4 linked regions of the Saccharomyces cerevisiae S288C genome follow. Changing the gene in region 4 together with the main gene of any one other region gives a genetic interaction. Each region holds a gene or a part of one and is shown on either strand. Other genes may lie near its edges.

The links.
Region 1: mutations in CWC21 (region 4) and ECM2 are lethal when combined (synthetic lethality), as found in Saccharomyces cerevisiae (2 studies listed by BioGRID, with this or other methods).
Region 2: of CWC21 (region 4) and AIR2, changing one suppresses a phenotype caused by changing the other (phenotypic suppression), as found in Saccharomyces cerevisiae (2 studies listed by BioGRID, with this or other methods).
Region 3: mutations in CWC21 (region 4) and STO1 are lethal when combined (synthetic lethality), as found in Saccharomyces cerevisiae (2 studies listed by BioGRID, with this or other methods).

Annotation. Positions count from the first base shown.
Region 1 is NC_001134.8:364,578-372,484, reverse strand, and holds ECM2 (Pre-mRNA-splicing factor ECM2), read left to right. Parts: upstream 1-2,806; coding exon 2,807-3,901; downstream 3,902-7,907. Other genes in the region: TIP1 (putative lipase), read left to right, coding at 1-382; NRG2 (Nrg2p), read left to right, coding at 1,786-2,448; CNM1 (Cnm1p), read left to right, coding at 4,301-5,515; YBR062C (uncharacterized protein), read left to right, coding at 5,885-5,900, 5,983-6,509; tRNA methyltransferase TRM7, read left to right, coding at 6,766-7,698. UniProt on the Saccharomyces cerevisiae protein: Involved in pre-mRNA splicing. Facilitates the cooperative formation of U2/U6 helix II in association with stem II in the spliceosome. Binds to RNA.
Region 2 is NC_001136.10:139,563-147,635, forward strand, and holds AIR2 (TRAMP complex RNA-binding subunit), read right to left. Parts: upstream 5,957-8,073; coding exon 4,922-5,956; downstream 1-4,921. Other genes in the region: DLD2 (D-lactate dehydrogenase), read left to right, coding at 1-1,552; YDL177C (uncharacterized protein), read right to left, coding at 1,647-2,159; GID12 (Gid12p), read left to right, coding at 2,535-4,661; DLD1 (D-lactate dehydrogenase), read right to left, coding at 6,264-8,027. UniProt on the Saccharomyces cerevisiae protein: Component of the TRAMP (TRF4) complex which has a poly(A) RNA polymerase activity and is involved in a post-transcriptional quality control mechanism limiting inappropriate expression of genetic information.
Region 3 is NC_001145.3:513,471-523,098, reverse strand, and holds STO1 (Sto1p), read right to left. Parts: upstream 5,561-9,628; coding exon 5,536-5,560; intron 5,214-5,535; coding exon 2,653-5,213; downstream 1-2,652. Other genes in the region: SAS2 (histone acetyltransferase), read left to right, coding at 1-770; DLT1 (Dlt1p), read left to right, coding at 1,310-2,338; EPO1 (Epo1p), read right to left, coding at 5,812-8,643; PKR1 (Pkr1p), read right to left, coding at 9,138-9,506. UniProt on the Saccharomyces cerevisiae protein: Component of the CBC complex, which binds co-transcriptionally to the 5'-cap of pre-mRNAs and is involved in maturation, export and degradation of nuclear mRNAs.
Region 4 is NC_001136.10:1,417,808-1,425,300, forward strand, and holds CWC21 (U2-type spliceosomal complex subunit CWC21), read right to left. Parts: upstream 3,032-7,493; coding exon 2,624-3,031; downstream 1-2,623. Other genes in the region: DIG2 (Dig2p), read left to right, coding at 1-563; alkaline phosphatase PHO8, read right to left, coding at 743-2,443; alpha-1,2-mannosyltransferase KRE2, read left to right, coding at 3,350-4,678; VPS52 (Vps52p), read left to right, coding at 4,956-6,881; VPS72 (Vps72p), read right to left, coding at 7,013-7,493. UniProt on the Saccharomyces cerevisiae protein: Involved in pre-mRNA splicing. May function at or prior to the first catalytic step of splicing at the catalytic center of the spliceosome, together with ISY1. May do so by stabilizing the catalytic center or the position of the RNA substrate.

The sequences.
Region 1 (7,907 bases), on a different chromosome or scaffold from region 4:
TGCTATCACTAAGACAATTGTTAAATTGCCATGGTACACCACAAGATTGAGTTCTGAAATCGCTGCTGCTCTTGCCTCCGTTTCCCCAGCTTCTTCCGAGGCTGCATCTTCTTCCGAGGCTGCATCTTCTTCCAAGGCTGCATCTTCTTCCGAAGCTACATCCTCTGCCGCTCCATCCTCTTCTGCTGCCCCATCTTCTTCTGCTGCCCCATCATCATCTGCCGAATCATCTTCTAAGGCCGTTTCTTCTTCTGTCGCTCCAACTACCTCTTCTGTCAGCACTTCTACAGTCGAAACTGCTTCCAATGCCGGTCAAAGAGTCAATGCAGGCGCTGCCTCTTTCGGTGCTGTTGTTGCAGGTGCAGCTGCTTTATTGTTATAAAAGGGAACCTTTTACAACAAATATTTGAAAAATTACCTCCATTATTATACCTTCTCTTTATGTAATTGTTAGTTCGAAAATTTTTTCTTCATTAATATAATCAACTTCTAAAACTTTCTAAAAACGTTCTCTTTTTCGAGATTAGTGCTTCTTCCCAATCCGTAAGAAATGTTTCCTTTCTTGACAATTGGCACCAGCTGGCTACTCGTTGCTCGAAAACTACTCTCTTTTATTTTTAATTTACGAACGATTATCTTTCGAAGGAACGACCAAACGAGCTAAATATGGGCATCGCCAACGTTAAAAAAATGGACCCTACCGAAGACGTTATTATGCCAAGGCGCAGCGAAGAGTCTTTCTCCTTGAGAAAAAATATGCATGAAACAAAATAGACAGGACCAGACCCTCTTCGGGAAAAAAAGTCAAGATTTAACACGTGGCTACACCGGCTGGCTTACAACCAACCAACATAAGATCAAACAACCCTCAAGTTTAGAAAATGCCTTAATAGCAACCTCTAAAACCATAGACTTCTCCATTTTCACGTGCTAAAAAAGTTCGGGTATGATGTCATACAAATCCTTTCAACAAAAGATGCTTCAAGATCAATGGCACTCGAGATCATAAATCCCTGCAGAGCAGCGGCTCTGCATATAGAATAACAAACAAATCGTATTTTTCCCGAAGCCAAGAAAAAAAGGAGACTATAACCTTTCAAGCCAGACGGAAAACTATCTGCCCAAGGACAAACTGGCATGGGCTGCTTCAATGTTCGGCTACCTTTTTTCTCTTTTAACGGGGTTTGGTATTTTTTTTCTTTACTTCATAAACGAATGTTAAACGACTGTGAAAAAGCCATCCCTGGATTATGCGAGAGTACTCTCAGGGCACCCGTCCGTTTAAAGACCCCAGGCCAAAATAAAAATTTCTTGAAGGAAAAAAATACACAGGGCCTTGAACTGAATACAAAGCCATCTTTTTTCTCGTTTGTCAGCACGTCCCAGAAAAACGCGCAGCCGTAGCTCTTGATAAGTGGCTTCTGCGTTTTGCAACGCTTTTCTGATCTCATGTTTTCTTATGCTGCGGGACATCATTGTCGTTGAGAAAAGTTTCAATTTCAAACGAACTGCCTACCGTTGCATTCTCCTTGGAGAAGGGCCTGAGTTTAGGGGAATCACGTCTGGCTATTACATGCTACATCGTGCAGTAGCTCCTACATCGCTAACAGGCAAATCCTACACCCTCTTTAAATCGTTTATCTTTTATATATTATCTGGCCTAAATTTTTACATATAAATATTTATCATATTATGACAGCTCAAATGAATTTCCGGCACCAAGTCATATGAGCACTCGCTACTGTTCGAAGAACAAAAAATATAAAGCTTCTACAAAATTTCCAGATGTCCATAGGTTACAAAGACAACTTGATGTCAACTATTCTAGCTAAAGATAGGAAATGTGAATTTCCCATCAATTTCGAATGTTCGCCCTCCCAGATAACTCTTATGCCTGAAATGTTCTCTTTTAACAATGAAAGGAAATACCAAACCCTGATACCCTTGATGAAAACATCACATCTAATTGATGATGACTTGAAAGATAAATTGAATAAGTGCGCTTTCGATTTTTTCTCCGGAAAACAAGCGAACAGAACGAGTGACGGGACTATTTCAAGATTAACAGCAAGTGGAAAAACGTCACCGATACTGCCATTGCAAAATATTAATATTGTAAAAGCAGAGAATACCGGTAACGGTAAATCAGATCCATATAGCTCAATTAAAATAAGCAAACCGACAAAAACCGTGATAAAATTGAAATCTACGAAAACCAATACAGCAGGACAGAGGACTCGTCATTTCTGTAAGATCTGCTCTACTGGGTTCACCACTTCTGGTCATCTTTCAAGACATAACAGAATCCATACAGGTGAAAAAAATCATATCTGTCCGCATGAGGGCTGTGGACAGAGGTTTAGTAGACATGATAACTGTAATCAGCATTATCGAACTCATGCAAACAAGAAGAAAAGAAACTGGAAGAGGAGGGAGGCTAGCAGTTGATGTGAGTGAGCTCAGCCAAAAACATTTAAATATTCAAATAACGTACAAATAAAAGACTGATAAATAGTAATAAAACTAAGCGGGTTAGTAATACTCACCAAGAACAATAGCAGGAACGATAGTCGGTTCTCTTTCGTAATTTTTTTAAGTCACAACCCGGAGGGACGTGAAGTTTCAAACCTTATTCATTCCGGGATTACCCTCTCCTGTGATGACGTTTAGGCAATAAGGACTAAAAAAAAAAAAAAGAAATGCTATGGCAAATTTTATTGATAGAAGTGGTAATGATGATGGAAGGGCTTTTGAGCAGGTGAATAGAAGGTAGCTAACGGAAAAGAGTTATTGCACCCTTAATATAATGAATGATGAAATTAATGAGCCACCGCCCAATATATGTGAGCAGTGCTTAGGTGATGAGGCTAATATACGAATGACTAAAATTCCACAAGGCTCTGAATGTAAGATTTGTACCTTACCGTTCACCTTATACCATTTTAAGACGTCTAAACGAAGCAATAATATCATTAAAACATTAATATGTGTACGGTGCGCCACTCAGAGAAACATTTGTCAATGCTGTATGCTTGATTCAAGATGGCACATCCCTATACAACTGCGGGATCATTTAATATCCCTTGTGAACGAGGAAAACGTTATGACGGAGGAAGCAAAAAACGACATGATGAAAAGGTTTCTGTCACTAAAAAACGTGAAATTAGGAGGAGCTCAGATTACGAGTGATCCGTCAGAAGCAGATAATATCGTTGATAAATTGAAAAATATACTTCTGCGAGCAACATCAGATGGCCCAAGTACTCCGTTAATAAAAAACACAACTGCATTGTATAAAAATGAAAAAGGTGCAAATGAGGTCAAAAACTTGGAAAAGTACGCGTCCGTGGACATTTCTCATATTTTGAAGAAACTACCCTTGAATGAATCGTTTTTAAAAAACCCCTCCACCAAATCATTTTTTCTGTATAATATTGATGCCTCGATCCCTGAATGGAAAATAACTGATACAGTTTCGCAATTATTGGGTATAAAGAAATGGAAGGATGGAAATTCATTGTCATTAATAGTCAACCACAAGGCGAAGTGTGGTGGCCTAAGATTTCAATCTAGTGAATTGGGGGAGCGGTTTGTCAGTAAAATAAGTGAGACACTTGTCACACCAAAGGGCCTAAAGAGAGGAGTTTTACTTATTGACCGTTTTAGAATCTTTATCATTCCGTGGTCGTCTGGCTTTTCAGCTGCGTCATTCGGAACCAACACTGCAGAAAATATAAAACTTAGTTTAAGTTTGAATAAGCTTATTCAGTTGGAGCTAGGGCTTTCTTTTCCTACAAAAAGCACAGATAACGCAAAGAATGACAAGAAAAAGACATCAAAAAAAGTTCATAAGGACAGATCAAAGAAATCGAAACCTCGCGCTAACAAGTTAACAATATAGATGAAACGTAAGAAAAATCATGGGTTGAAGAAACGAACTGTTTGATCAATTTCGACCATCCATCTACCTTGCAAGTAATAAACAAAAGCAGGTTGAGTGGGGAACTTTATCTAAGTTGATCAGTATATCTGACAAATTTATACGGAATGCTGCAGTTTGGATTAGCACGAACATTTTATCTGTACGGTTTGTCGCTTTTAGCTGCTCGGGCTCTTCCTCTCGGTTACCGAGATGATAACTCGGCCGAATTTTGTAAGTACAAATAAAAAGAAAGTGACACAATTCTAAAAGTATCACTATAATTTATTATTTTGAGAAAGATAAGGTTCCATAGGTACATGATATATTGACTGATTTCTGATAGCTCTTTTTTTTCCAATATCGATAAAAAACTAAAATATGGAGGAACTAGGTTTAAAAAGCACTTTTCCATATGAATATGGCTCAGACTTTACAATGATAAGAACGGAAATGTTAAATACTACGAAGAGCGAAACAACTATTTTATTTTCCAATATAAAGAGCATTTTGGCCATTATTTGGAAATACTCATTTACATTTTTAAGATCTTTTTCCGATTCCATCAAACTTATTATTGACGATGTTGTCACTATTGGCTCCCGAAATTTTGCAGAGAGATTACAGATTGAAGCGAAAAAAAACAATGACCAAGAAGATATCTGGGCATCCACAATAATTTTGGGTGTGATTATCGGGTATTTAATCTCTTCTATTAAGAGAAAGAACACTTTTCCAATAATGCCTACGAGCTCACCTAAAATAGATGATTGTAGGTTCAAGACTGGTGATACCATATCCATTGTAATAAACTTTAATGAAGACTGCCTCAATAATCGAAGTGACGTTACCGAAGAGAGAAATTATGAGGAATCCACAGTTTTACATTCAAAGGAGTCAGTTCTCAGCATTGGTAGGCAAAATATGGTAACTTTGAACCAAAGCGATGAAAATTTCACCTATGGCAATTTTGATGAGTACGACTTATTAACTAAAGATTATACAACAGAGGTCTTAACGCGATCACCTGGCTCGAATCCCGAGTTTAAAGCAGTGGTAAATAATACATTACTTGATAGCGCGAATGAAACGCCGTTTAAAGGTATTGAAAAAAGTATTAACGAAACAATGGTTAAAGTTCCTATGGGATGCGATGTATCTCTCTCCCATTATGGCAGACAATACGCGCCTGGAAATATTTCAATTATGAGAAGCTTCACTGCTCGAGATAATACTAAATCTGTGAGTAGAGAAATTCGTGATATCTGTAAATCGTTTTTGATTATAAAAAGCCAATTTGGTGACGAACTTTTCCTGACTATGTTCATGGAAAAACCAGTTTTCTTTGATAACAACATCCCAATTGAAATAACTGGAGCATACCGAGAAAAACGAGAGCGATTAGATGAAGTGATTCATAAGGATCTTATCCGCTATGATGAAGTTCAAAATTTGACAAGGATTCGCAATTTGCTCCGGGTTAAAAGTCAAAAGATTTGTTCCAGGAGACATAATAGTTCGGTTCCCACAAAAAAATTGTTAGTTAATGATAAAGGCGCAACTTCGATTCTACTGTGGTACTCTAACTATTCATAGATAAAGTTTATTTGATACATAATCCGGAAAATGTAAGATATGCCAACTGTTAACTAGAAAACATCTGTACTCTATATATCGGAAACAAAAACTTTACGGGTACAACCATGATGAATAAGCTCGAAATTTTTGCCTTCCATATGAGTCCCATTTTGGTGACCAACTCTCCTACCCGAATTACTGTGATGATATATACTCTTCGTTTTCTAGTAATGGCTTCATTTTGCCTAAGTTGGTCAAAATTGTTGTGGGCGGCTTTTGTTTGCACCGAGGAGCGCTCAGTTCGTTATAATACCAGTTTTGCCACTCCTAAACTACTAAAGAAATAATAGAAAGATATATTCATCAAACATAATCACAATCAAAAAAATGTCTACATATGAAGGTATGTAATGATATATTATGAAGTAAGTTCCCCAAAGCCAATTAACTAACCGAATTTTAATCTGCACTCATCATTAGATTAGAGGAACATGGAATACAACAAAACTCAAGGGATTACCAAGAAGTAGGAGGAACTTCACAGGAGGAGCAGAGAAGACAGGTCAGATCCCAACTGCAAGGTCTATTTCAAAACTTTGGTAACACCAGTGGTGAGGGTGATGCACATTCAGATTCAACACTACTTTTACGATTATTATCGCAAATGCTTCCAGAATCATTACAGGAAGAATGGTTGCAAGAAATGGATAAAGGCAAGAGTGCGGGCTGTCCTGATACTTTTGCAGCCTCTTTACCACGAATCAATAAAAAAAAGCTCAAAGCAACTGACAACTGCTCCATTTGTTACACTAATTATTTAGAAGATGAGTACCCCTTAGTAGTTGAATTACCTCATTGCCATCATAAGTTCGACTTAGAGTGTTTGTCTGTCTGGCTATCTCGAAGTACAACATGTCCATTATGCAGAGATAATGTTATGGGCCACCGAATCATTAATGAGATTGATACAACTGAAGCAGAACTGGAAGAAGATTGGGGTATGTACGGTTAATATCTTTCTTTTATATTATATAAAGACACCAAACCTAAGTAGAATAGGTAACTACGTCTTCTTTCACAGAAGACAGACCTACAAGTATTTTGATTATCATGATGAAGTAAAAGCAACGATAAACTTTTTACTAGGTATTATTATTCTGCGCTAACAATAATTATCGCGAGTTGAAAATTTTCAAGCGATGCTCCTAACATTACTGTAAAACAACAGTAGATGAGTACAAGGCAAGCTTAAAAAGAAAGTATTCAAGATGGGTAAGAGCAGCAAAGATAAAAGAGATTTGTACTATAGAAAAGCAAAAGAGCAGGGCTATAGGGCTAGATCTGCTTTCAAACTACTTCAACTCAATGACCAATTTCATTTCCTGGATGATCCAAACTTAAAAAGAGTTGTAGATTTGTGTGCAGCACCAGGTTCATGGTCACAAGTGCTCTCGAGAAAACTGTTTGATGAAAGTCCCAGTTCAGATAAGGAGGACAGGAAAATTGTCTCTGTCGATTTACAACCGATGTCCCCCATACCTCATGTGACAACGTTGCAAGCCGATATCACTCATCCTAAAACATTGGCGAGGATTCTAAAACTGTTTGGCAACGAAAAGGCCGATTTTGTTTGTAGTGATGGTGCACCTGATGTTACTGGGTTACACGATCTTGACGAATACGTGCAACAACAGTTAATTATGAGTGCGCTGCAACTTACTGCATGCATTCTGAAAAAAGGTGGAACTTTTGTGGCAAAGATCTTCAGAGGTCGTGATATAGATATGCTATATTCCCAATTGGGCTATCTATTCGATAAAATCGTTTGCGCAAAGCCAAGATCATCAAGAGGTACATCTCTGGAAGCTTTTATTGTTTGTTTAGGCTATAACCCACCATCCAATTGGACACCAAAATTAGATGTAAATACATCCGTTGATGAATTTTTTCAAGGCTGTTTTTTGAATAAATTGTGTATATCAGACAAATTGTCTCATTGGAATGAAGAGGAGAGAAACATAGCCGAATTTATGGCTTGTGGAAGTCTTCAAAGTTTCGACTCAGATGCCACTTATCATGACCTACCTTCTTCGGTTGCAGGCACTTCATCGTCCTTAGATCCTGTTCAAAGCCCGACGAACCCTCCCTACAAGAAAGCTTTGGAATTAAAAAGGAGCGGGAAACTCACTAGATCAGTTTGATTGCAATATTACTACCTCTAATCAAACAATTAAATAAGTCACTACATTATAAGATTATCTACAAAATCAACTTTTCCTTGCAATCATTAAAAACGATATAGGTTACGGTTATGTAGAATATCCATTGTATAATATAAAAGAAAATGAAACAGTAATTATATTATATTATATTACATGCAAGCATTGAGGAGTATGGCAATCATTTTTCT
Region 2 (8,073 bases), 1.3 Mb from region 4:
CAAATTTGCTGGCAGATATATGAAATCATCAGCTCTTTTAGGATACTATAGAAGAGTTAACTATTATTCGACCAAGATACAAACCAGACTGACTAGCGAAAACTATCCAGACGTGCATCGAGACCCTAGATTCAAAAAATTAACGTCCGATGATCTAAATTATTTTAAATCTATTTTATCGGAACAAGAAATATTAAGAGCCAGCGAATCAGAGGATCTTTCATTTTATAATGAAGATTGGATGAGAAAGTACAAAGGACAGTCCAAGTTAGTATTGAGACCTAAGTCAGTGGAAAAAGTTTCTTTAATCTTAAATTATTGTAATGATGAAAAAATTGCCGTTGTCCCACAAGGCGGTAACACGGGGTTGGTAGGTGGTTCTGTGCCCATTTTTGATGAATTAATTCTATCTTTAGCAAATTTAAACAAAATAAGAGATTTTGACCCTGTATCAGGTATCTTGAAGTGTGATGCTGGTGTAATCTTGGAAAATGCTAACAATTACGTAATGGAACAAAATTATATGTTTCCGTTGGATCTGGGAGCTAAAGGTTCCTGCCATGTTGGTGGCGTGGTTGCAACCAACGCTGGAGGACTAAGGTTATTGCGTTATGGCTCACTACATGGAAGCGTTTTAGGCTTAGAGGTGGTAATGCCCAATGGTCAAATTGTTAATAGCATGCATTCCATGAGAAAAGACAACACCGGTTATGATCTGAAACAGCTGTTCATTGGCTCAGAAGGTACTATCGGTATCATCACTGGTGTTTCAATCTTGACTGTTCCTAAGCCAAAAGCGTTTAATGTATCTTACTTGTCTGTTGAAAGTTTTGAAGACGTTCAAAAAGTCTTCGTCAGAGCCAGGCAAGAATTATCTGAGATTTTATCCGCTTTTGAATTTATGGATGCTAAATCTCAAGTATTGGCCAAGAGCCAATTGAAGGATGCTGCCTTCCCTTTGGAGGATGAGCATCCATTTTATATTCTTATCGAAACGTCAGGGTCAAACAAAGATCACGATGATTCCAAACTTGAAACATTTTTAGAAAACGTCATGGAAGAGGGCATAGTAACGGATGGTGTAGTGGCACAAGATGAAACCGAACTCCAAAACTTGTGGAAGTGGAGAGAAATGATTCCAGAGGCAAGTCAAGCTAATGGTGGTGTTTACAAATACGATGTTTCTTTACCACTAAAGGACCTATATTCTTTGGTTGAAGCCACTAATGCAAGACTTTCTGAAGCTGAATTAGTGGGTGATTCGCCCAAACCAGTGGTGGGCGCCATTGGATACGGTCACGTGGGTGATGGTAATCTACACTTAAATGTTGCAGTTAGAGAGTACAACAAGAACATTGAAAAGACTTTGGAACCATTTGTCTACGAGTTTGTTTCCTCAAAACATGGTTCCGTTAGTGCCGAACATGGGCTAGGTTTCCAAAAGAAAAATTACATTGGCTATTCTAAGAGCCCGGAAGAGGTCAAGATGATGAAGGATTTGAAGGTTCATTATGATCCTAATGGAATTTTAAACCCTTACAAATACATTTGAAAATAAAATGCCAAGTTTTATAGTTATCTACATATGTATATATTTATCAATATTATATTCTACAATTGTGTATATTATATGGTAAGGGTGATATTTAAGGAAGAAATCCACCCTTCTTTAAGGTTTCCACTGCACATGTTGAAATGTGTCTGAATCTTGATGAGCCCAAAGGCGTGCCACCATACCATCTGGTCACTATTACCAAGACGTTGAATATGTTTGCTCTTTCAAGTAAGGTCAATAAACGCTGTCCAGCACCAGCTTCGCCACAGTCAGCACATCCTTGCTCAATGTTCTTTGGCTGCACCGTTATGTTCCTTGACTTGTTAACATGACTATTATTACTCTTATTTGCTTTATTGCCCTTCTTTTTCTGCTCTTGTTGTAAGTGCAAATTATTTGATACCTCGGCCGTTCTCCAGGCATACATGTGCATGTGGGATGCCTTGGAGACGCTTTTGTTGTTTTGCGTTAGTTCTTGGAGTATGGAGGGTATATCCTTTTGATTTTGTAATGGGCAACATCTTGCTTGAAATTTCGATTTTCTATCAACTAAAACTTCTGATTCATTCCATATTTTCACTAGCTTACCAACATTCTTACTCATTTCTCCAAAAAATAGTAATACCAAACATCAATACCTATCTAAGAATCTGTATAATGTCTTTTCTAAAGGTTTTTTACAGCTGATGATTGATGCATGACTTATTTCCACAGTGCCGTATTTTCTCAGTTGCCGTTTTGGGTCTGCTTTTCACAATGCGAAGCTTTGTTGAAAAGAGCTCTAAGGTCAAAAACAATAGTAAGCTGATCGGTATTAAGTACTTGCCTTCCTGAAAATTGCTAACAAACATCCAAATATACCTTCCCCATAGTTGAATGGCATCTAATAGAACAAAACCAGGTTAAGATAGGTTTTACTTTGAGTTGTTAAATACACGCAGAAAGCGTCTTTCCACATAATCTGAACATTTTGTTATCGATGGCTACTGGCAGGATTCAATTTGCTGTTTCTACTCCCTGCAATACTAAGGGTAAACCGTCTGGTTATAGGTTATTTGAATTTAAAAACGATCGATTAGCACTGGTCCCATCAGAAAGAGGTTGTACAAAAGTAGATGTGAATGCAAATATACAAGCGTTTTGTTATTTAAGGCCTAATGGTAGAGACACGTCAATATCTCCAGACGCAACGCATATTTTGGACTCATGTGATTACATGGTGCTGGCTAAATCCAACGGATTCATTGAAATCATAAGCAACTATCAATACAAGATAAAAAATGGCCTGCGATTAGCGCCCTCTTATATCCTTAGATGTACTCCGGAAGATTTCGAATCCAATTTTTTTAGTGACTATATGATCGCTGGTCTTGAATATAGTCAAGGTTTATTATATTGTTGTATGTGCTCCGGTCGAATATATGTCTTTGTAATGAACCTTCCCACTGATTACATTCAGTATAAGAACATGTACAACCCCATGTTTCCAGATTGCTTTTTCAAAGTACATCACGATAATAATACAACACATTCTTCAGAAGAAGAAAAATTATTTGAAGGTAGTACGCGGTACACTGGAAGGTCATGCTCTAAGCATATCTGCTACTTCCTTTTGCCTATAGAACCATCCCATTTAAGATCGTCACCCGTGGTATCTTCGTTTTGCAATATGTATCAAGGCCTGCCCATATATAGGCCTTCGATGTATTTACATATAGAACGAGGTATTTCCACATTCCATATAAATCCATTAGACCGGTTTTGTTTCATGACAGTATCGCCACGATCACCACTATTTATAAGGAAAATAATTTTACCATTGACTTATGTTACATTTTTAAGCACCTTTATCAGCCTAAAGAACAGTATACAGGGAGATACATGCGGTGAGATACTTTCGTGGGACAACGTAGCGCAACAAAATGGATTTGGTTCTTTGTTCAGCTGGATTAGTAACAAGTTTACATTCGATACGGATATTATAAATTCAACCATTTGGGATGATATTGTAAAATATTCTGGAACAGGAATGCTGGATTCAGGAATCGTCTGGAAACAGCGTCAAGGTCACGCTAAAGATGACATATATGAGTTATTCCACACTCAAGATATGCTGGGAAGTAGTCGCCGAAATTCTTCATTCAGTACTGCTAGCAGCGAACCGAGACCGCTGAGTCGAAGAAGGAGAGAATCTTTTCAAGCCTTAACTAGAGACGCTTTTAGAGAAAGAATGGATGTACCCTGTTCAACGAAGTGGGAATTAGATTCTTTTATCCGAGGATTAAGAAGGAATACATTTATGGTAGATTTTGAAATTGTTGAAAAGATTTCTCATAGAAATGGAAATGATGGGGTGAATGAAGATGATAACACTACAGATGAAAGTGATGAAACAATGACTTCTTTTCTAACAGATAATTACAAAAAGATGGACATTGTGTGCATCGATCATTTCGTCACGTTGAGTGCATTCCGACCTCGGTACTATGATGAACCAATAATTAAAATCGATTCATTATCGAACAAAAATGGCTCTGAAAATGGAACTAATGAAGAAGAGTGGGCAGAAAGTCAAATGAAGGTGGATGGCCAAGTGATAGATGATGAGACAGCTCAATTCAAGCAGGCATTGGGAAATTTATGTTCATTCAAGAAATTATTTATGCTGGATGATTCTTTATGCTTTATATTGGACACACATGGAGTTTTGTTGATAAATAGATTTGAAATAAAAAATACCAAAAATTTGTTAAGGAATTCCAAGGATACTATTCGGATAATACCCCATGATTTCGGATTGATTAATGATACAATTGTTATAATTAATGATATAGACGTAGGCACAGACAATGTTTGCGCCCTTACGTTTCACTTGGTGGTAACATCAATGGCAGGAGAGATAACTGTTCTTAAAGGCGAATTTTTCAAAAACTGCAGGTTAGGAAGAATAAAACTGTGCGATTCACTAAAGCTAAATAGAAAAGATCGGTTTGTCGACAAACTTGCTCTAATCGATTATGACGGTTTAAATGCACAAAAAAGAAGGTTAGATTACGATGAAAAGGACCTTTATACATTCATTGTGAAAAAGGTAAAAAGAGACTAAATTGAGTTGCATAGATGTTAGCCATAATAGAAAATAGCGTATGAGGTAGCAGGAGTTATAAGACGTATTTACGTATATGTATGTATATGTTATTATTATTACCTGTGATTGCACGAAGGCCTTTTTTTTTCACAACAAGAAGATGTAAGAAATTTACATGCTATTTTGATTAATGGTCGAATTAGGTATTGTCTTTAATCTTTCATTAAGAAAATATAATGTAACCAAGAACAGCTTGTTAAAGGGCTTCCTATTTAAAGTTATCTTCTTTTCCCCAAGGTACCACTCCTATATGGTTGATAAGAATTGTAGTTTCTGTAATTGGAAGAGTTGGAAATGCTGTTATTATCAACATAAGTAGAAGGGTTATATCTGGAGCCATACATATTCTCCGATATCGACGAGACGTTTACTTTTGTATTTTGATACCGTGAATTTTTACTAATATTATTATTGAGTGACAGCGTCTCGCCCCTTATAGTTGGTTGAATGACATTAGACTTTTGATAAGGAGGAGGATGGAAGTTCGATGCTCTACGTTTATTTCTGCCACTATGAGAGTGATCGTTTTGGGAATGTCTTTTATGGGAAGGTCTCGGTAGTGGATCCTCATCGTATATGGACTCACTAAATTGATAGTCTTCATTTTCGTCCGAATTTCTGTTCATGTGACGGTAATATTCCTGTTTTAGCTCAACTGACAAATTAGAACCAGTGAACGCACTTCCATCCTCGTTAGGTACTCTAGATGATCGTTTTTCCTTGCAATCATCACCAAAGTGCCCCTTTCCACCGCAGTTATAACAGTATATAGTATGAAAGGGAAGGACCTTGGGCTTAGCCTTTTCATTATCATCTACTAAAATATATGCTCTCCATATACTAGGACATCTTTCTTTTGAGTGTTTCTTACTCTTACAAAGAGTGCACTGAACTTTTTTCCATTTATGTGGACATTGTGACCTGTAATGACCCACCTCATCACACTTTGAACACTGGATAGCCTTCGGACAATGTCGAGAATAATGATCATCCGTCGCCCCACAGTACGAACATATTATATGGGGACAATCCTTCTTCAAATGACCTCTTTGAGAGCAATTATTACATTTAGGTGCTGCCTCTTTAATGGCATCCTTGTCATCATCGCTTACGCCAAAATATCTACCCTGCCCTCTAAGAGCTCTTAATTCGTTGGGATTACTATTTACTTCCTCTATAGAAGGTGCTACAAGTTTATCTGGAGGAGTTGTGGGTGCCGTATCGACGACAAATGGTGCCGTATTTTTTTCCATGACTGCGAGGAAGTGATGTAAGCTGCTATCGTTGTACAGGTAAGGTTTAATTCTCTCTGATGCTGCCAATAGTCATAACTTTTTTCGAAATGTTTCTTCCCATCCCATTAGTGTTTGAAGGAAAAAAAGGCACTACCCGGATCATGAATACATTTGATGGTAATAATATATATCACATTTTTAAGCATGTATTAGCTACTGGGAAAGGGCATTTTGAAATGGTATGTTTTCTTTAAGGATGAACTATATATATTACATGAAATATATTTCAGGTTTACGTGAAGGGTGAAAAAGGAAAATCAGATACTCACCTGTAATCATTAGCGGGCTCGTTTGGATCAGTTTTAAAGATTTTGTCCGGGTTCATGATTCTCTTTGGGTCAATAGCTAGCTTAATCTTTCTCATCAAATCGACGGGTGCTTCACCTAATTCTTCGAGCAAGTACTCTCTTTTACCAATACCAACACCGTGTTCACCCGTGCAAGTGCCTTCTGCGTTCAGTGCTCTCTTGACCATTCTGTCAACAAGTTGGCTACAGGTTTCGTGTTCTTCAGGGGTTCTGTAGACGATGAATGCATGGAAGTTACCATCACCTGCATGACCAACAATGGCGTTGATCAGCTTACTAGCTTGCATGTCCTTTTTAGTTTCGTGAATAACCTTGTCGAACTGCGACACAGGAACAGCTACATCAGTTGTCCAAATTTTAGCTGATTTGTCTTTGCTCTTATCAGCGTCTAGCACAGACCATAGCGCGACCTTTCTAGCTTCCCATAATTCCAATTTTTCGTCATCATCTTTAGCAAACTGAAAACTGTTGCAGTGATTTAACTGGGCGACAGCCTTAACTTCATCCACAAGAGCATTGACAATGTTGGGAGATCTCCCACCAATCTTGAAAAACATAGTTGGTTTCTCTACCCAATCACATCTGTCCGTGGATTCAGATGCGTTGATCAACTTCATCATATTTTCATCCAGTAACTCCATGGCGTTCAAATGAATACCACTCTGAGTCAGATTAGAAGCACATGCGGCCGCATCCTTGATAGTATCAAAGGATACCACCGCAACAGTTTCAGCTTTGGGCTTGACATGACACTTGACAGTAGCTTCAGTAACAATACCTAAGGTACCTTCACTTCCCACAAATAAACCATTTAAGTTATAGCCAGCGCTCGACTTTCTGGGTCTTTTCTTCGTCTTGACAATGGTCCCGTCCGGCAACACTATAGTCATGTTTATAATATTCTCCTTCATGGTACCGTAACGGTAGGCGTTGGTTCCTGAACAAGAATTAGCAATGCAACCACCAATCTGTGCACCTGGACCAGGGTCACAGCCAAACATCAAACCGTGGTCGCTCAAATAGTCATTCAAATCCTCCCAGGGTAGACCGGCCTGCACGGTGATGTCCAGGTCCAGCTTGTCAAATTTTACGACGTTATTCATAAACTTGGACAGGTCTACGGTTATGGTATCTCCAATTCTTGTAGGCAGGAAGTGCCCCTCCAAGGACGTTCCGCCCGAGAAGGGTACAACTGGCATGTTGTTATCGTGACATATTTTCAAAATTTTGGAAACTTCTTCGGTAGTATGAGGGAATAATATAATCCTAGGTCTTTGCTCGGGAGAGGGGTGATGCGTGTTGAAGTAGGTATCTGAATGGGCGTCCAAATCGGATTTCGCATCAGAGTAGTTTTCAGGCTTGTTTCCCAGCACCTGCTTCAGGTCCTCAACAACCTTATCGATCTTAACCGGGTCGTGCAAATAGTCTGGTGAGTCCAATGAGGACAGCTTTAACGTAGAATTTACTGGGTCGATCTTTTTGACCATTTCCAGCTTCTCTATCAAATCTTCCTTAGTCTCCCTAGAATAGAGGTTCTTAGCGAACAAATAACCGAATAGAGTAGCTGAAGAGGCGATGACAGAGTATTTTAACCACTGGCTGCTGCTGTCGGTGCTGCCTGTGCCTGTTGAGGCGTATCTGTAGCATGATCTTCTCACCAGCCTTCCTCTAGGTTGTGCAATAGGCTTTATTAGCCTTGTGCAAGTACGCTTCCACAACATTGTTCTTGCTTTTGTTTCCAGCTGGATCGGAATGATGTACAATATT
Region 3 (9,628 bases), on a different chromosome or scaffold from region 4:
CCAAGGGTCAGCTTTCCTCTGTTTCTAACAGCCAATACTGGCTAGACACTCTTTTCGTTTGTGAATACTGCTTCAAATACACGGATGATCAGACGCGGTTTGTAGGACATGTTGCAAGTTGTCCATTTCAATATCGTGTTCCAGGCAAAATAAAATACAAGAGTCCTGAATATACAATAAGAAGAGTAAAAGGATCCAAGTATCAACTCTTTTGCCAATGTCTTTGTCTTTTCACTAAGCTATATCTGGACAATAAATCCATGTATTTCAAAGTAGATCATTATGAATTTTACATAGTTTATGAAACTGGATCAACAAAGCCGATGGGATTCTTTTCGAAAGATTTAGTGTCATATCAGCAAAATAATCTAGCGTGCATCTTGATATTTCCCCCATATCAACGACGTGGATTAGGCCTTTTACTTATCGAGTTTTCATACAAACTATCCCAATTAGAAGGTGTAATATCAGGGCCAGAAGTACCGTTATCACCTTTTGGACTAATCGGGTACTTGAAATATTGGTCACAGATACTCTGTTGGCACCTTATTGAAGGTGACCTCGCCCATTATGATAAAGTGACCCTGGAGGATCTTTCCATCGTGACTGGAATGAGAGTCAATGATGTTATTTTGACCTTGAAGCACTTGAACTGTATTGGGGAGAATAACCAAATTTACTTGCAGTCATTGAATAGCTGGTTGAAACTACATGGAACAAAACGGAATTGGTTCAAATTAAAAGATGAATATTTGCTGATAGATGACTAGGAATCTATTCAGGATGTAACTTAATGGCATATGTATTTCAGGATAGAATATCGCTCGATGAATTCCTGTACAGACAACTACAAACGGACGAATTTTGTCTGACCAAGTTAAGAACAGAGAACTAATGCATAAAATTTGTTTTGCTGCAAAAGTTTCCCTTTTTTTAGAGTATAAATATCTTTTATAGCAAAAGACTTAAAACAGGTTCACGTTTTTATTAGCCGTTTTTGGGCCGGTTTTTCGATGACGAACAAGGACCAAACAAATACAGCATCAAAACAAATTCTAGAATAAGAAGGCAGAAAGGGTAAGGGCATAAAGGAAACCTTCTTTTGTGGTGATGTTGAACTGGGTTTAGCCAAAATTACAACACATATTAAAGTTTTGTTATTTTGCGATAAAGTTATTGCTCTTGAGCATCAAAGAAAGTGGGAGGTTAAACAGAGGAAAACACATTGAAATTTATTCAAAAAAAGATACCGCTATACAACTTTGGCCTGATACTATCTATAGACACGAGTGTCCATACTTAGCAGTAGATGTCCGGATTCGCAAAACTCAAGTCGTGGTTATACAAAGCTTCCCTTTTCGTTTCTTTGATACTTTTGATTGGGTTTTCAGTTGTTTTACCCATAGATTCCATTGCACAAGCTTCTAAATCAGAAAACAATGCCTTTAATACGTTCATTGTTGTAGGCGCTTTAGTTGTCTTTGGCGTTTTTTGTATCTTTATTATTATTGGAAGAATGCTATTTCATAAGAGTTGTTTAAAAGATATACCAAGAAGATATATTCCGATCACACCTGCTGATCTCCCGCATCGTTCTAGTAGGGAAGCAGTACTGCAGAACATGGAAAGATCTAAAGAATTAACAATTCTTCTCAAAAAACCTAAAGACCCTGTTATTCACGACGGACTTGAGCCCCCGAGGAGATGTGACTACCCATTAGATGAAAAGTTATTTCCAGAATACCTAAACTATGCTGATTGTATAAAAAGTTTAACAGATAGACTGAAATACCATGGATTGTTTCTGAACAATTTAGATGTTAGAATGAATCTAGAAGATACGTTTGCCGACGTGGTGAACTCACAATTTGTTAATCACAACGCCAATAAAATTCAGTTAGAAAAGGCGAAGGAGTTTATCGATTTATATGAAACAATTAGATTTTCAGGGAAGGACGTTACTAGAGACCAGTTCATAAAGTTTGTTAAGTTTTGTCTCTATTTCGGTGAAGTGTCATTAACAAGAGACACTTCATTTGCAAATTTACATAATTTTAGATTAAATGGCAGTTCAAATAACATTGGAAGAACTGAATCAAAATATTCAATAAACCCATTTGATGAAAACGAATACGCGCAGGATGATATGCATTACTTTCCCGAACCGCCTACACATTTGGTTAGAGAAAGTAGCATAAGTACTGTCGCAAGGCATGTTTCATCAGGTGTAGATCTGACTAATTCTGAAGAACATCCTTTGGATACGGATTCTGATTGTAACGCCCTTCGTCTCAAACTTTCCAAAGCGGATAGTTATAGAAGTGTAATTCGTCATTAGAAACTCTGATCAATAGCATAGTGTAACATAGTGTAGCATACCATTCAGGTTGTATTATATACGCAACAACAATAAAATATTAATTTAATTATTGCGATGACAATTAAGTAAAGATGATTGAAGAAAACAATACTAACAAATTTTGAAGCATTTGTATTTACTTAATTTTAAATTTATTATTATAGGTACAGTTTCAATAATATATTTATATAAAGCTGATATTTTATATATAGGAAAATTACGCTAGGTATGTAACATTGATTAAAAATTAAAAAGCGGAGTGATAACGAATGTAGTCCATCCTCCGAATCTTTTTAAACTTCCTTTGTTTCTTGAATCCAATTCGAAATTGTTCTCCTAGTGGATTCGTGTGGAATAGCGTTATCAATGTTGGCAATGAATTTGTCTGCTAACTCACGATATTCGTGGGAATACCTTCTTAATATACTTTTAATAAACCCAATCACTGTAAAATATTTCCATTTCAAATCCAGTTTATCATCTTCAATATCGTCGATGTCCATTTCCCCGTTGACTTTAGGTATCTCAATATCTTCATCAGCATTGACATCTAGTAAGTCTATAGTACTGTTGGCGATGGTACATAATCTTTCGAAAACGAACTCAAAATTATTTCCACTTTCGTTCTCTTCCGAGATTTGTTGAGATAAATTTCTAAAGACCGCTTCAATTGCTGTAGCTTCAATCAAACCATTATTCTTCAAACCAGTTTCGTTAAATATAAATGTAAAAATGGTTCTGGAAGTAAGTAAACCTGCATATTTGAATGCATCTGCTACTAAGAAACCTGTCTGAGGGTTGGCGTTCCAAAATGTTAGGACGGCTTCAATTATGATATACTCTTTTGTCTCGATATCCAATTCAATCTTCGCAAATATGGTTTTGAGATCTTCTTTTAAATCATTAATATATTTATTAGCATGTGATAAAGATCTACTACCAGAGTCTGTAACGGCCTGGACTAACAATATGATAACAAATCTGTTAAAGTCGGAAATTATGGAACCATACTCATTCTTTAACTCACCTAGAATACTTTCTAATTCAGTAACTTCCCTAGAATTGTTTGCTTTGTGGGTATAATCTAAAATTTTACGGACTGTGTTTTCCATAGGTACACCTTCTTGTCTAAAATATAGATCATTTTTTCTAACGGAATCTTCTTCTACCGTATAACCGGTGAATAATGATTGATAGTAGTTAATCAGTTGATCTCTTGGAATGTAAGAAGTATCCAAATATTTCGTGAATTCTTGTGGTAGGCTGTCCTCTACTTCTGAAAAGTTAGAGGTCAATCGTAGTTCTTTTTGAATCAAATTTTTAGCAAAATTTACCTTTGGATTATAAAAATACTTGCCAAATTTGATCGAATCGTCTTCCCATTCATTCCACTTCCAAGAAAAATTAAAGTTGCTCATTTGAATTGAAAACCAGTCCAAATATCTTAATTTTAGTTCAAAATCTAATGAATCCAAATGACTATAAAAAAACCTAAAGGCTCTACCAAAGACAGGAGCAATTGCTTTTGGAGAATTTTGACAAATATCCACCAATAAAGTGTAAAAGTATGCAAAAGGCTGGGAAACACTAGGTAATTTAAAAATAAGTCCCAAAATGGTTTCAATAGCCAAATCTTCTATCTTAAATGTAGGAGCCAATGGGTTCTCTTCATAAGTGGCAATTAATTGGGCAATAGATTCACCAGGTTCTGTAAATATACCTGCTTTGAAAAAAAGATCCAAAGTTATCACTTGTCTAGCTACTTCCTTTCTATTGAATTCTAAACTTTCCACCAGATCAATAATGATATCGTTGAATAATTGACCAGCATAAGTGCTGATTGGTACAACTGTTTCGAAATTACCAGCGGAGTTTGGCAAGTAAACATGAAAAGCATACCTTGGTGTCTTCCACATGCTATCAACTGAACCAAAGTTTTTATTCAAGCGCACGAAAGACTTTAGATCATCTACTGATGGAAGGGTTAAAGCGTCATTGAACCCTTCATCACCGGTTTGGGGAGTTAATAAATGATTCCAATCAGGAAATAATTCATTCAGCTGTTCCAAGTTATTGATTAGCGCCTTCTTGACGTTTGGTAATACGACTCGGACAAGTTCTACCATTTCATATGGAGGTTCACCATTGTATTCTCTTAATAGGTTTATATCCGTTGTTTTAACTAGATAGTTTTGTTCAACGTATGCAAGTAACTCCTCCACTTTTGTCCTCAAACCGTCATTATTCCTATTAAAAAAGAACAAATACGGGATATTTAATAATGTATTGGTGTAAATTGCTTCAGATAAAGGAACTCTGTTACCTGGATCCAGATTGTTTAATTCGATACTCAATTCAAATAAGCTCTTGTAGATATTGATTAGTTCATCAACTAAAAACATGGGCGATAGAATGGATAAAAATCTCAGGATTAACTTGATCTTGTTCCATGGCCCAGTTTCATTTGACGTACTCTTGAATTCATCATTATATGTTTGCTTGCACCATTTTTGTAATTCTTCGAAGAAGTAATTGATAATACTCTTTCCGGCAACATTATTTTTCGAATTAACAACCATGGTTAAGAGAGCGATAGCAGCTTGCTTCTGTGGTTGCTCCACAACAACAGCGTTTAAAGTGCTCAGTAAAGCATTATTAAAGTAGTCCTCATGGCCATACTCATTCATTATAGCTTCACTCAAGAATTTGATATCATCTTCAAAAGCTTTAACAGATTCACCAATAGTGCGAATATCGGGCATCATTTCTTTACACAGTTGTACAACAGGTGGGATTCTCTGTCTTTTAGGCATGCGAGGCCTAAAATCACGGTAATTTTCATCTTCATCGAAGTCTAACGGTAAAATCATATGCAAGGTAGTCAAAGTTGGGTATGTTAGTAATTTGAATGAAACTGAATAATTGAGTTTTTGTAAAACCAAGCTAACCTAATAATCCTAGGAATGTAAAACAAAGTAAAGATGGAGAGTAAAATAAGAGAGGTTACTTGCCGTTATGTATTCTACGTGTACCGTTTCTCCACTTCTCTGTGCCACAAAAGTACACTTTTCTGTCACACCGTACTAACTGACAAAAAATGGAAATACCATCCTAATTGGTCTTGATATACACACTCTAGAACGAAACTTCTGGAAAACATTGGTTTTAAAACATACCTCCTCTTCTTTTTCTATTAAACATCTTAAATATATTTAAAATGCAATTGTAGCCCCAAACGCGTATACCAAAGTCGTTTTGATTAGCAATATACCTTCTGTCCTTCCTTTTTTACCCATTATACACTTTCACCTGTTGCTGAGTGTGAATTATATTTTTTTCAACTTTTTCAAGAACAATCTGAAAAAGCATCTTCTACGTGTAAAGTGATTTTATACTTACGTAGTATGATTTTGGTGCACTAAGCGATATATACAATAAAATACATCATTCATCTACTGTAAACGTCCTTTAAGCATTTCAATTTCTGAATCTCTCTCATCAATAAGTTTATTCAAGTTTTCAATTCTTCCTACTAGTTCCATAGAACTTGGTTTGGTGCCATTTTCTTGGAGTAATAACTGCTCCTCCGCAATGAATCTCTTTAATCTCTCGTCATTTAATTGCTGGATCAATTGCACAATTTTACTGGATTTTTTTCTCAGTTCCTTTTCAAAGTCAGAAAAAGACACACTCGAAGAATCGTCAAAAGATGGTGCTGAATTATTGGTTTCATACAGCCGTATTCTTTCTTCTAATTCAGTTTCCCTTTTTATCGATTCTGCTAATTCTGTAGACACCAGTGTCAACTCATTCATTAATTCTTTGTTTTCTGTTATCAAATTCAATTGCTCACCAGATATTGTTATCATCTTTGGCTGAGAGCTATCTTCTCCACTAGTTGATCCGGCGGAAGTTATGTCTCCTCTCCTAGCATATAACGGTTCATACGGTTTGGCTAAAGTATTATCAAAACTGAAGTCTTCTTCTGAAGCATTCATGCCATCCTTATCGTAGCTAACTGGGGCTGATTTTGTTTTGGAGGGTGAACCATCCATATGCGGTACAAAATTATCAGATTCTGAGGCGGAATCAATATTCAACGGCAGCGTATTGGAGATGAACGATCTACGGGAAGAGCTGGACATATGAGAAACTGCTGATAAATGACCATCGCGATTATTTTTTTTATATAGAAAAGTATCATTGTTGATGTTTTCCTGGTTCATGGATATGTTGACATTACTTAGTCTCCTGCCATTGCCATCGGATTCACGTCGCTTAATGGTAGCATCTGAGACATTTCTTTTGGGATCTCTTTCCGGTATGGATTGTAACAAAGAAGCCCTTTTACTAGTATTGAAATCAAAATCGACCTCGTTCGTTGTATTCATTTCGCCATTATCCGAATTTGAGTTATACTTTCCGGGAGAGGGGAATTCTTGTGCGGTCACGTATTCATTGATATCAGTAGAGTTTTCTAGCTTATACATACCTGTTCTGGTATTGATGATTCTTTGCTTGGAGGGAGAATCACTAAATGTGGATGAGAAAGTCGACAAGGACGCTCTATTGGCGACTGCACTTTCACTTTCCAATTTAAGATCTTTTAAACCAGTCTCTAGCGCACTCGCAGGTCTTAAATTTAAATCGTCTGATTCATGTGAAATTTCCTCCTCTTCATTTGCTTCAGTATTTTTCTCAGCTCTTTCCTTTTCTTTTTCTTCTACTAGTGCTTCTCTCTCACGTAAAGATTTTTCCATTTCAGCTAGCTTCCTTTCTTTTTCCTTTAACTCGTTTTGTTGAGGAGTGGATAATTGCAAAACATTCAGTTTTCCCTTGTTTTCAATAGGTTGATCAATGTTCACTTGTTTTTTTAGTGGTGAAGATCCTTGTTTTGTAGAGTTAGGCATTGCTGTAGCATCAGTAGGAGATGACGGAGAGAATGTAGTCAGGGAGTTGTTTTGTACGTTCGGTATTGAATAAGCTGAATTATTCTTTGAGGAAATTGACGATTGACTGATTGGCTGTTTCATGGACACAGCTTTACGATCGTTGTCATTTGGTGACCATGGATTAAACCCTTGGGGAACGTTCTGACTTTGTAGAGACATTGTCCGATAGCCTTCAGACATTGGATGAAGTTGAAGTTGTTGTTGTTGTTGTTGTTGTCTTTGTGATATCTGCTGATGACCTGCGAATGGCCGAGGATTTTGGGGTGAATATCTTGGGCCATTAGTTAATGACAGAGTACGTGGTTGCTGAGGTGGCTGTTGTCCAGAGGGCATTACTGGTGGGGTATTCTGGAATTGACCTGGGTGATTGTTGTAGTTGTTCATCGGTAGCATTCTTTGTTGCTGCGGCTGTCGAAATTGTCCGGGAGGTCCACTCATCAACGAATTTGATCTCGAATAATTAGCGCTCACCATTTTATTCGGTTGAAATCTAGGATGAGGAGTGGGTGCTTGCATTAAAGGATTACCATTCGGGAAACTTTGCAAAGACATTGCTCTCGGAGGCAACGAGGCTAATGTACCATTTTTAGTTTGTTTAGCCATGGCATTCATTGCGGTTTTCCTTTGATTAGTAATGTACTTCCTATACTCAGTATTACTCATATTGCCGCGGTCTTTAGTCACCAATGTTGGAATGATAGGAGTGGAATCACCACCATATCCATATTTGTCACCGCCCTTGTGACCGAAGGTCTGAATGTCATTGAATGTTAGGTCGGAGTTTGCAGAATCATCCAAGATAACCTCATCGTCATCATCACCATCTCCACCACCTCCTGTCCCCTTAGTGTTTTTCTTTGACTTCCCAAATTGATGCTTATGTTTGAAAAAATTGGAAAATGAGCTCTGGGTAAATGAGGAAGCTTTCTTACCATTAACATTATCGCGATTATTGCTTAGTGATGGTTTGGTGAAGTTATGCTGCATGAGGGGAATCTCATTCATATGTGGATTGGAATACTCAAAATTATACTGTTGTTGCTGGCGTTGCTGTTGTGAATAATTCTGCATGGGAATTTGACGTTGTTGAAGTGGCGCTTGTATTGGAGCCTCATTCATGCCATTACGGTAGTATTGCTGCTGCTGCTGCTGCTGCTGCGGCACGGAAGAAGGCTGGATGTTAATATTGCTGTCATTCCCGTTCCTTGAAATAGGTGTTTCATCCCTAATGTCAATATTTCCTATATCATTATTCAAGAGGTTATTTCTCAATTTAACTCTAGCAGAAGACTGACCGTTTCTTGTTGCCATGGTCGATAAACCTGCATCCATTTTGAACTTTTTATAAATAGTCTTTGAGTACTTTTTATCCCACTGCTTTATCGGATCAGGCTGTACCTCTCTGCTCTTTTTGTAGGGTTATTAATAGCTCGGTGAAAATTAATGAAAGAAAGCTCCAAATTTAGCTATAGCCGTAAACTAAAAAAAAAAAAATTAGGAGGGCAGTCACTAAAACAAAAAATCAGAATTCCTATGCAATGTGCTGCTGACACAGTTACTTGAAATGCCTATTTATTCACAATTTGAAGGGTTTGCGATGCTGAAAGAGTTGTTCTATTCAGTCGCACGCGTTAACTCTTTGCATGTGCTTCATTTGTCCATAATTGAGCCCAAAATTTGATTTAAAAAAAAGGAATTTTTGAAAAAAAAAAAATATCAGGGGAGACCCTGAAGCGGACAAAAAAATTTACAATTGCGGACATTTACCCGGAAGCTCTGTGATATACTAATAACAGAGATAATTATGTAGTCAATTATGTATCTGTCTATGCTTTTCTTGACCTAGATTGTGCTTGAGTCCGTCTGGCAGTACTAGTGGATTTCCCGCTTTCTTGCTTGTCTTCGCTGTCTTCCTTGATGGCACTGTCGTCCTTTTTATTGGCATCTTTATCCAGCTCATCATTATCCTTCAATTTGACGTGTGATAATTCGTTTATAAACCAGATAACGGTAATCCATAGTAAAAGTGATATACAGAAAAGAGCATAGAAGTGGATATTCCCGTTTGTGGCATAGATGAGCCAGATGAGGGTCAGTAGTAGTGCAACAAAAGATACGTGTGTGGCGATGATCAGCTGGGGGGAGGTCCCTGGTTCAAATACACTTTCCCACAGTCTAACAAAAAAATTGGCCATTTTGAGAAATTTTCGAAGTTATATCCCTGCGATTTTTGGCACTAATCAATTAGATGGACGTGTTCTTGGATATGACAAAAAGAAAAGACCATCTCTATTTTTCTTCATTTGATTTTCAGTCA
Region 4 (7,493 bases):
ATAGCCTTAGGGTCAGATATATGGGTAGGATGGCTCCTACGAATCAAGATTATCATCCTTCAGTGGCCAATTCATATATGACAGCAACCTACCCTTATCCATATACTGGACTGCCACCAGTACCATGCTACCCATATTCTTCAACTCCAACACAAACGCACGCATACGAAGGCTATTATTCCCCGATGTATCCCGGCCCCTTGTATAATAATGGTATAATACCAGCCGACTACCATGCAAAGAGGAAGAAGTTGGCTGGTAGATCACCACACTTGGAAGATTTGACATCGAGAAAAAGAACCTTTGTCTCCAAACACCACAACGGAGACCCAATCATAAGTAAGACTGATGAAGACATTGAATGCTCTGTCACGAAAAATTCATTAAGTGAGGGCGCTTCACTTAACGACGATGCCGATGATGACAACGACAAAGAAAGGATCATTATTGGAGAAATCTCTCTGTATGATGATGTTTTCAAATTTGAAGTTCGCGACGACAAAAATGACTATATGAAAGCATGTGAAACAATCTGGACTGAATGGCATAACTTGAAGAAATGACGAGATTTCACTTCTTCACGCTATAGAATGCACCTAAAACTCGCCTGCACTCCGAAACGAAATGCGATACAGTACGTGTCATGCGGTTAGTATATATACATATATATATATATATATATATTCAAATAAATTATAACGTATTAAATAATATGTGAAAAAAGAGGGAGAGTTAGATAGGATCAGTTGGTCAACTCATGGTAGTATTCGTCATAATGTTGTACTTCACTAGCTATTTCTGTAGCATCAAAATCTGATGTGTGTTTGGTGTCCCTAATCAAATCAGTGACTTCGTTCAGGTTCAATTCTAAAAAGTTTTCTAAGAACTGGCCAACTTCCGTATTTTCGTGATTGCCTTGTAAATTGTTCAAGACATATGACCATGTAGCTTTCTTATTGGCGTATGCATATATGTTGACGTCGACTGCGCTGTGACCATGCGTGGTCCAGCCAATTTGGGCCCTAAATGATACCATGTCATTCAGTTTGTCTTGGATAGCATTTGCGTTGTCATCCAAATGAATTAATGTTTCTAAATCGCTATCCGTGTAATCGTAAATACCCAAATCTTTTTCCAGGATCTCATGTTTGATGAAATTTTCTATTTTGCTGCTTGCGCCCTTATGCTCATGAACAAAATCTACTAGTTTTCTTTTCAAAAACTCACCTGAATGGGTGGCGTTGGCGAGCACCTGTGGATACCAGACATACTGAGGATAGCTAGCAGTGACTTGTCTTGAAGTGACTAAACCACCCGTTTCATGATCCGACGTAGAGACCAAAACAGTCTCCGTATCGGAATTTTCAGCAAACTCCAAAACGTATTGGAATGCTTCATCGAAAGCCAACACCTCCCTTACCTGCGAAGCTGGATCGTTTTGGTGACCAGCATGATCAATTCTGGAGCCTTCCACCATTAAGAAAAACCCATTAGAATCTTTGTCCTCATTGGAAGCTTTTTCCAAGGCACCCAAAGCCACCTTGACTTGTTCCTTAAGGGAAGGATACTCCTTTTCATCTCTGTCAATTTCAAAAGGAATGTCGTTATCTGCAAAGAGACCCAAGAAAGGTAAAGTAACGTTTTCACCGTGGCTTTTCAACAAAGAATCAAAATTTTTACGGTCACCCACGTACTGCCAGCCATTAGATTGAGCCTCATCGATTAAATCTCTTCCATCTTTTCTAGCACCGTGGTGACCATATGGAGAAGCCTTTTCGCCTTGAGGGTAGAAATGGCTCCTGCCGCCACCCATGAGTAAGTCTACTACTCTCCCCAGAGGATATTCGCCTAACTGGTGCGTAGCGATAAGATCTTCCTGCCATCTGTAATCAACATGTGAACTGAATGAAGCCGGAGTGGCATCTGTGATTCTTGTCGTAACAACAAGCCCAGTGAGATAACCTGCTAACTTAGCCGCCTCGAGCACTGTACCACAAGGTCTGTGATGCGGATCAACACCGATGGCCCCATTATAGCTCTTTAATGCACATGCAAATGCGGTGGCGCCCGCAGCTGAGTCAGTGACTAGTGAGTCCGAGGACCTTGTTCTCGAAGACCCGATAAAATGCTCGTCAAGTGTCAGGATGTCGTCTATAGGTAAATCATTAACATGCTGGTTGAATGATCTTGCCATGGACAAAGACGCAGGTCCCATCCCATCCGTCACGAAGAATATGACATTCTTCTTCTTGTGTGATGCAGAACGTAATGCAAAACTGCTTGGAAATGCCAGTTGCACTAAAACCAGCAACAAACCAATACAGACCACAGTGGATACTATTATCTTTGATCTCTTCGAGATCCGTCTCTTTTTAGGACGAGAGCTCGAGTCAGATCCAGGAACAAGACGTGTCTGTTCGCTTGGTAATGTGTGAGTCATCATGCTGCTAATGCGCGTTCAAATAATGTCCCGTATGCTGATATGTAAATGTTTATGTAGCCACTTGCTGGCAAAATGTGGAGCACGAAAAAATATAAACGTTTAGATACACTTCTTTCTTTATATACTAAAATCCCTTTACTTTTCCTCTACGCGCGAAGCTTATCGCTATCGTCAATGCTGCTATTCATGTCGATGCTGCTCTTCCGTTAGACGCGCCTTACGAGGGGTGTACAAAGAGGACATCCGCTGCTGTTCTTGCCACTCGTTCGTCAGTTTTGCCCTCAACGCTTCACATTTCTTGTCAATCTGCTCTTCCGAGAGCGTTTCTTCCTCCTCCAGTCGGTCCCGTAGCTCGCTAACTTGTACTTCAATCTCACGTTTCTCCATATGAGTCTCTATCTGTTTCTGCACAGCAAGAGGCCTGCTTGCCTTGTCATGGCTGGCCTTTTTGATCGCATTTTGTCGTTGTTGCCGCTGCTGTTGACTACCCTGTGGTCTGCGCCTATTGTTGCTAGCAAGTGATCGCTGCACGTGGCCCGACGTAGATGACCCTTTTGCCGACTTGAGCCCTATTCCGTTGTACGACATGACTGGACGGTGATGCAGTAGCTGTTAACCGTCGAATGGTATTGTGTAGAGCTCAAATTAGGATTACACAGATTATAATACCACACTTATAGTGCCATTCTTGAGGTCTTACTTGATTCTTCCTTGCCTTTACCCGCACGCTTAATATAATTTTTCCTTCTTATCTGCTACGCCTTCTTCTAGTAGGAAAAAAAAAAGAAATTTGGTGAAGAAACAGTCTGAAAAGGAGATAATTTGCGATTTAATTCGTTTATACATTTTATGAATCTATAATACTGGAAGTGATATCCATATTCGCAAGCAGTTCCACTCGAAAGCATGGCCCTCTTTCTCAGTAAGAGACTGTTGAGATTTACCGTCATTGCAGGTGCGGTTATTGTTCTCCTCCTAACATTGAATTCCAACAGTAGAACTCAGCAATATATTCCGAGTTCCATCTCCGCTGCATTTGATTTTACCTCAGGATCTATATCCCCTGAACAACAAGTCATCTCTGAGGAAAATGATGCTAAAAAATTAGAGCAAAGTGCTCTGAATTCAGAGGCAAGCGAAGACTCCGAAGCCATGGATGAAGAATCCAAGGCTCTGAAAGCTGCCGCTGAAAAGGCAGATGCCCCGATCGACACTAAAACAACCATGGATTATATCACTCCATCTTTTGCTAACAAAGCTGGTAAGCCAAAAGCTTGTTACGTCACTTTGGTGAGAAACAAGGAGTTGAAAGGTTTGCTAAGCTCCATTAAATATGTGGAAAACAAAATTAACAAGAAATTCCCATATCCTTGGGTTTTCCTAAACGATGAACCTTTTACTGAAGAATTCAAGGAAGCAGTCACCAAAGCTGTTTCTTCCGAAGTTAAGTTTGGTATTTTGCCCAAGGAACATTGGTCATATCCTGAATGGATTAATCAAACCAAGGCTGCTGAAATTCGTGCAGATGCTGCCACCAAATACATATACGGTGGCTCCGAATCTTATAGACACATGTGTCGTTACCAATCTGGGTTTTTCTGGAGACATGAATTATTAGAAGAGTACGATTGGTACTGGCGTGTGGAACCAGACATCAAGTTATACTGTGATATTAATTACGACGTTTTTAAGTGGATGCAAGAAAACGAAAAAGTTTACGGCTTTACCGTTTCTATTCATGAATATGAAGTGACGATCCCAACACTATGGCAAACGTCCATGGATTTCATCAAAAAGAACCCCGAATACTTAGATGAAAACAACCTGATGAGTTTTCTTTCGAACGATAATGGTAAAACATACAATCTGTGCCATTTCTGGTCAAACTTTGAAATTGCAAACTTGAATTTGTGGAGGTCACCAGCCTACAGAGAGTATTTTGACACTTTGGATCATCAAGGTGGATTTTTCTACGAAAGATGGGGCGATGCTCCCGTTCATTCTATTGCTGCTGCTTTGTTTTTGCCAAAGGATAAAATCCATTATTTTTCAGACATTGGTTACCATCATCCACCTTATGATAACTGCCCATTGGACAAGGAGGTCTATAACAGTAACAACTGTGAATGTGACCAAGGTAATGATTTCACTTTCCAAGGTTACTCTTGTGGTAAGGAATATTATGATGCTCAAGGGTTGGTAAAGCCAAAAAACTGGAAAAAATTCCGTGAGTAGAAATCTTGGAACATACTGTTTCTTTGTTTTGACTTTATACTTTCTATTTATATTTTATTTTTATAACTGGTTAAGTACACATAGGACTGCGTATCAAACATATAAGTGAGGCAATCCACATTTTTTTTAAAGATTCGAATATTTTTATTCTCATTAGCGTATTCCGAGAATAGTTCGAAAAAATATAAGGTATATCAAGAGTTTTTACAAGTGAGAGGAAAGAGGAATAAGCTATAAGCAACAAAAGCGTAAAAAAATTAGCTGAAGACATAGAACTATGGATGTTCTCAAAGAGGTGTTGTCACTAGACCAAGATAAATTTGACCAGCTGAAGGAAACGAGCCGAGATAAAACAAATGAAACGGATGATCCTTTTGAAAACTATTTGAAGGATTGTAAATTTAAAGCGCCTTCAAACAAAGATCAGTCACCATTTGCTAAACTTAAATCATTACAGGAAACTCATTCTAACAATGAAGCGGCTATTAATATAATTATTCCTCAATTGATTGATTACTTAACCGAATTCACTAATAGGTTATCAAATTACACACAAGATTTAGACTTCATTAAAAAAAAGTCCAATGAATTACAGTCATTGCTCGAATACAACTCCACTAAACTGGCACATATCTCTCCTATGGTTAATGATTTGATGATTCCTCCTGAACTCATTGATGACATCATTAAAGGGAAGATCAATGAAAGCTGGCAGGATAATATAACATTCATAGCAGATAAAGAAGAAATTTATAACAAGTATAGGTCCAATAATCTCGATCAAGACAACAAGGACGCAGAAAATTCAGCAATGCTAGCACCAAAGGATTTTGATAAGTTATGTCAACTCCTGGACATCCTAAAAAATGTTATTCTAGAAAGGTCGAAAAGACTTATTATTTCCAAAATCAAAACTTTGAGGAGTCATAACCCAGTACCATCGCAAAGGATACAAAACAAATTATTAAAAGTTCAAAAAATTTTCCCCTTCATAAGAGATAATAATCTCTCCTTAGCCCTTGAGTTAAGACAGGCATATTGTTACACAATGAAATGGTATTATAGAGAATACTTTTCTAGATATATCAGGTCATTGACTATTTTGCAATTTCAACAAATCGACTCGCAATTTGCATTGGGTAATGGCCTTTCTACAACTTCAGTGAGTGGGTTTAACAATTCACCATCATTGTTTTTCTCAAATTATCTAACTACATCCGCTTCAAATGCTTTCTATAATAAACTCCCTGTAACAGATGAGAAAATTGATAAATACTTTCAGATAAAGAAAAGATTGAACATTTTAACACAAGAAGACAATACGGTAATGGTATCCCAAATTGCAGAAAATAACACAACGAAAAACTACATTGAAATTGGATTTAAAAATTTAAACCTTGCAATTTTAGATAACTGTACGGTGGAGTACCATTTTTTAAAAGATTTCTTCGCTATGAATGGCGATAATTTTGAGGAAATTAATGGTTTATTGGAACAAATATTTCAACCAACTTTTGATGAAGCCACAACATACACTCAACAACTGATCCAATATAATTATGACATTTTTGGTGTATTAATAAGTATTCGTGTGGCCAATCAATTACAATTTGAATCAGAAAGGAGAGGAATACCGTCTATGTTTGATAGTTTCTTGAATGGTCAATTAATTCAATTATGGCCTCGATTTCAGCAATTGGTCGATTTTCAATGCGAGAGCTTACGAAAAGCGGCAATAACTACAAATGTGGCAAAATATGCCGGCAACTCAAGCACATCCAATAGTAGCCCTTTGACCTCACCTCATGAGTTAACTGTACAGTTCGGTAAATTTTTATCAAGCTTCTTGACGTTGGCAATAACACATAAGCAGTCCATAGACGAAAGATCTGAACCCTTATACAATTCCATCATTAGATTAAGAAATGATTTCGAAACAGTCATGACAAAGTGCAGTAAAAAGACGAAATCACCAGAAAGATTTCTGGCTACAAATTACATGTATTTATACAATAACCTACAGCAATTGCATCTACATTTAAATATAAATGACTCGGATGCACAAAACTACAATTTTGATTCTGCTGAAAATGTTGGTACGAAAGTTGCGAATGACGACGATAATGATTCAAGCGTACCACTAATAATCAGAGAGACCGAAAATCATTTCAAAACTTTAGTTGAAGCTTTCACCAGAAATTGATGAATGTAACGATTGTATAAGACATGGAGCGTATAAAGTATATTTTTATGTAAAATGATCTTTATGATTTCTTATTTTGTGTGGAATATAGTCAAATGTTTAACGACCTACCATTATATAGTCTGTCTCAATTAAAATCCTTCAGGAACACCTTTTGCAGGTCTTTGACTTAAATCAAGGTAAATACCGCCGTTTTTGAACCCAAACCACTTGAATCTCACTTGATCGTCACTATCCTCATTTGTCGTTTCATCACGCTTGATATCTGACCTTCCCTCCTCCTTAGAAATAGGATCTTGAATCCGCTGAATAATTTTATAAGCTTCCACATCAGAATAAGGCACACCAGTCCTTGGATCAAAGTACTGACATTCTTTATTTGTGATTAAACATTTTTTTCTTATACCATTGGCTAAGAAGACACCCGTTGGAGGCTGTGTTTTAATTTTGATTTCCAAATCCTTATTTATCTCTGTGTTGATTTGATGGACTATTTTCTTATCGTATTCCCCAAAAGATGGGAAATTTGCCAGAGCTGACAGATCAAGTGATATATCTACGGTAGGAGACGGTACTGAAGACTGAGGAGGTGATGGTAAAATGGAGTGGAAA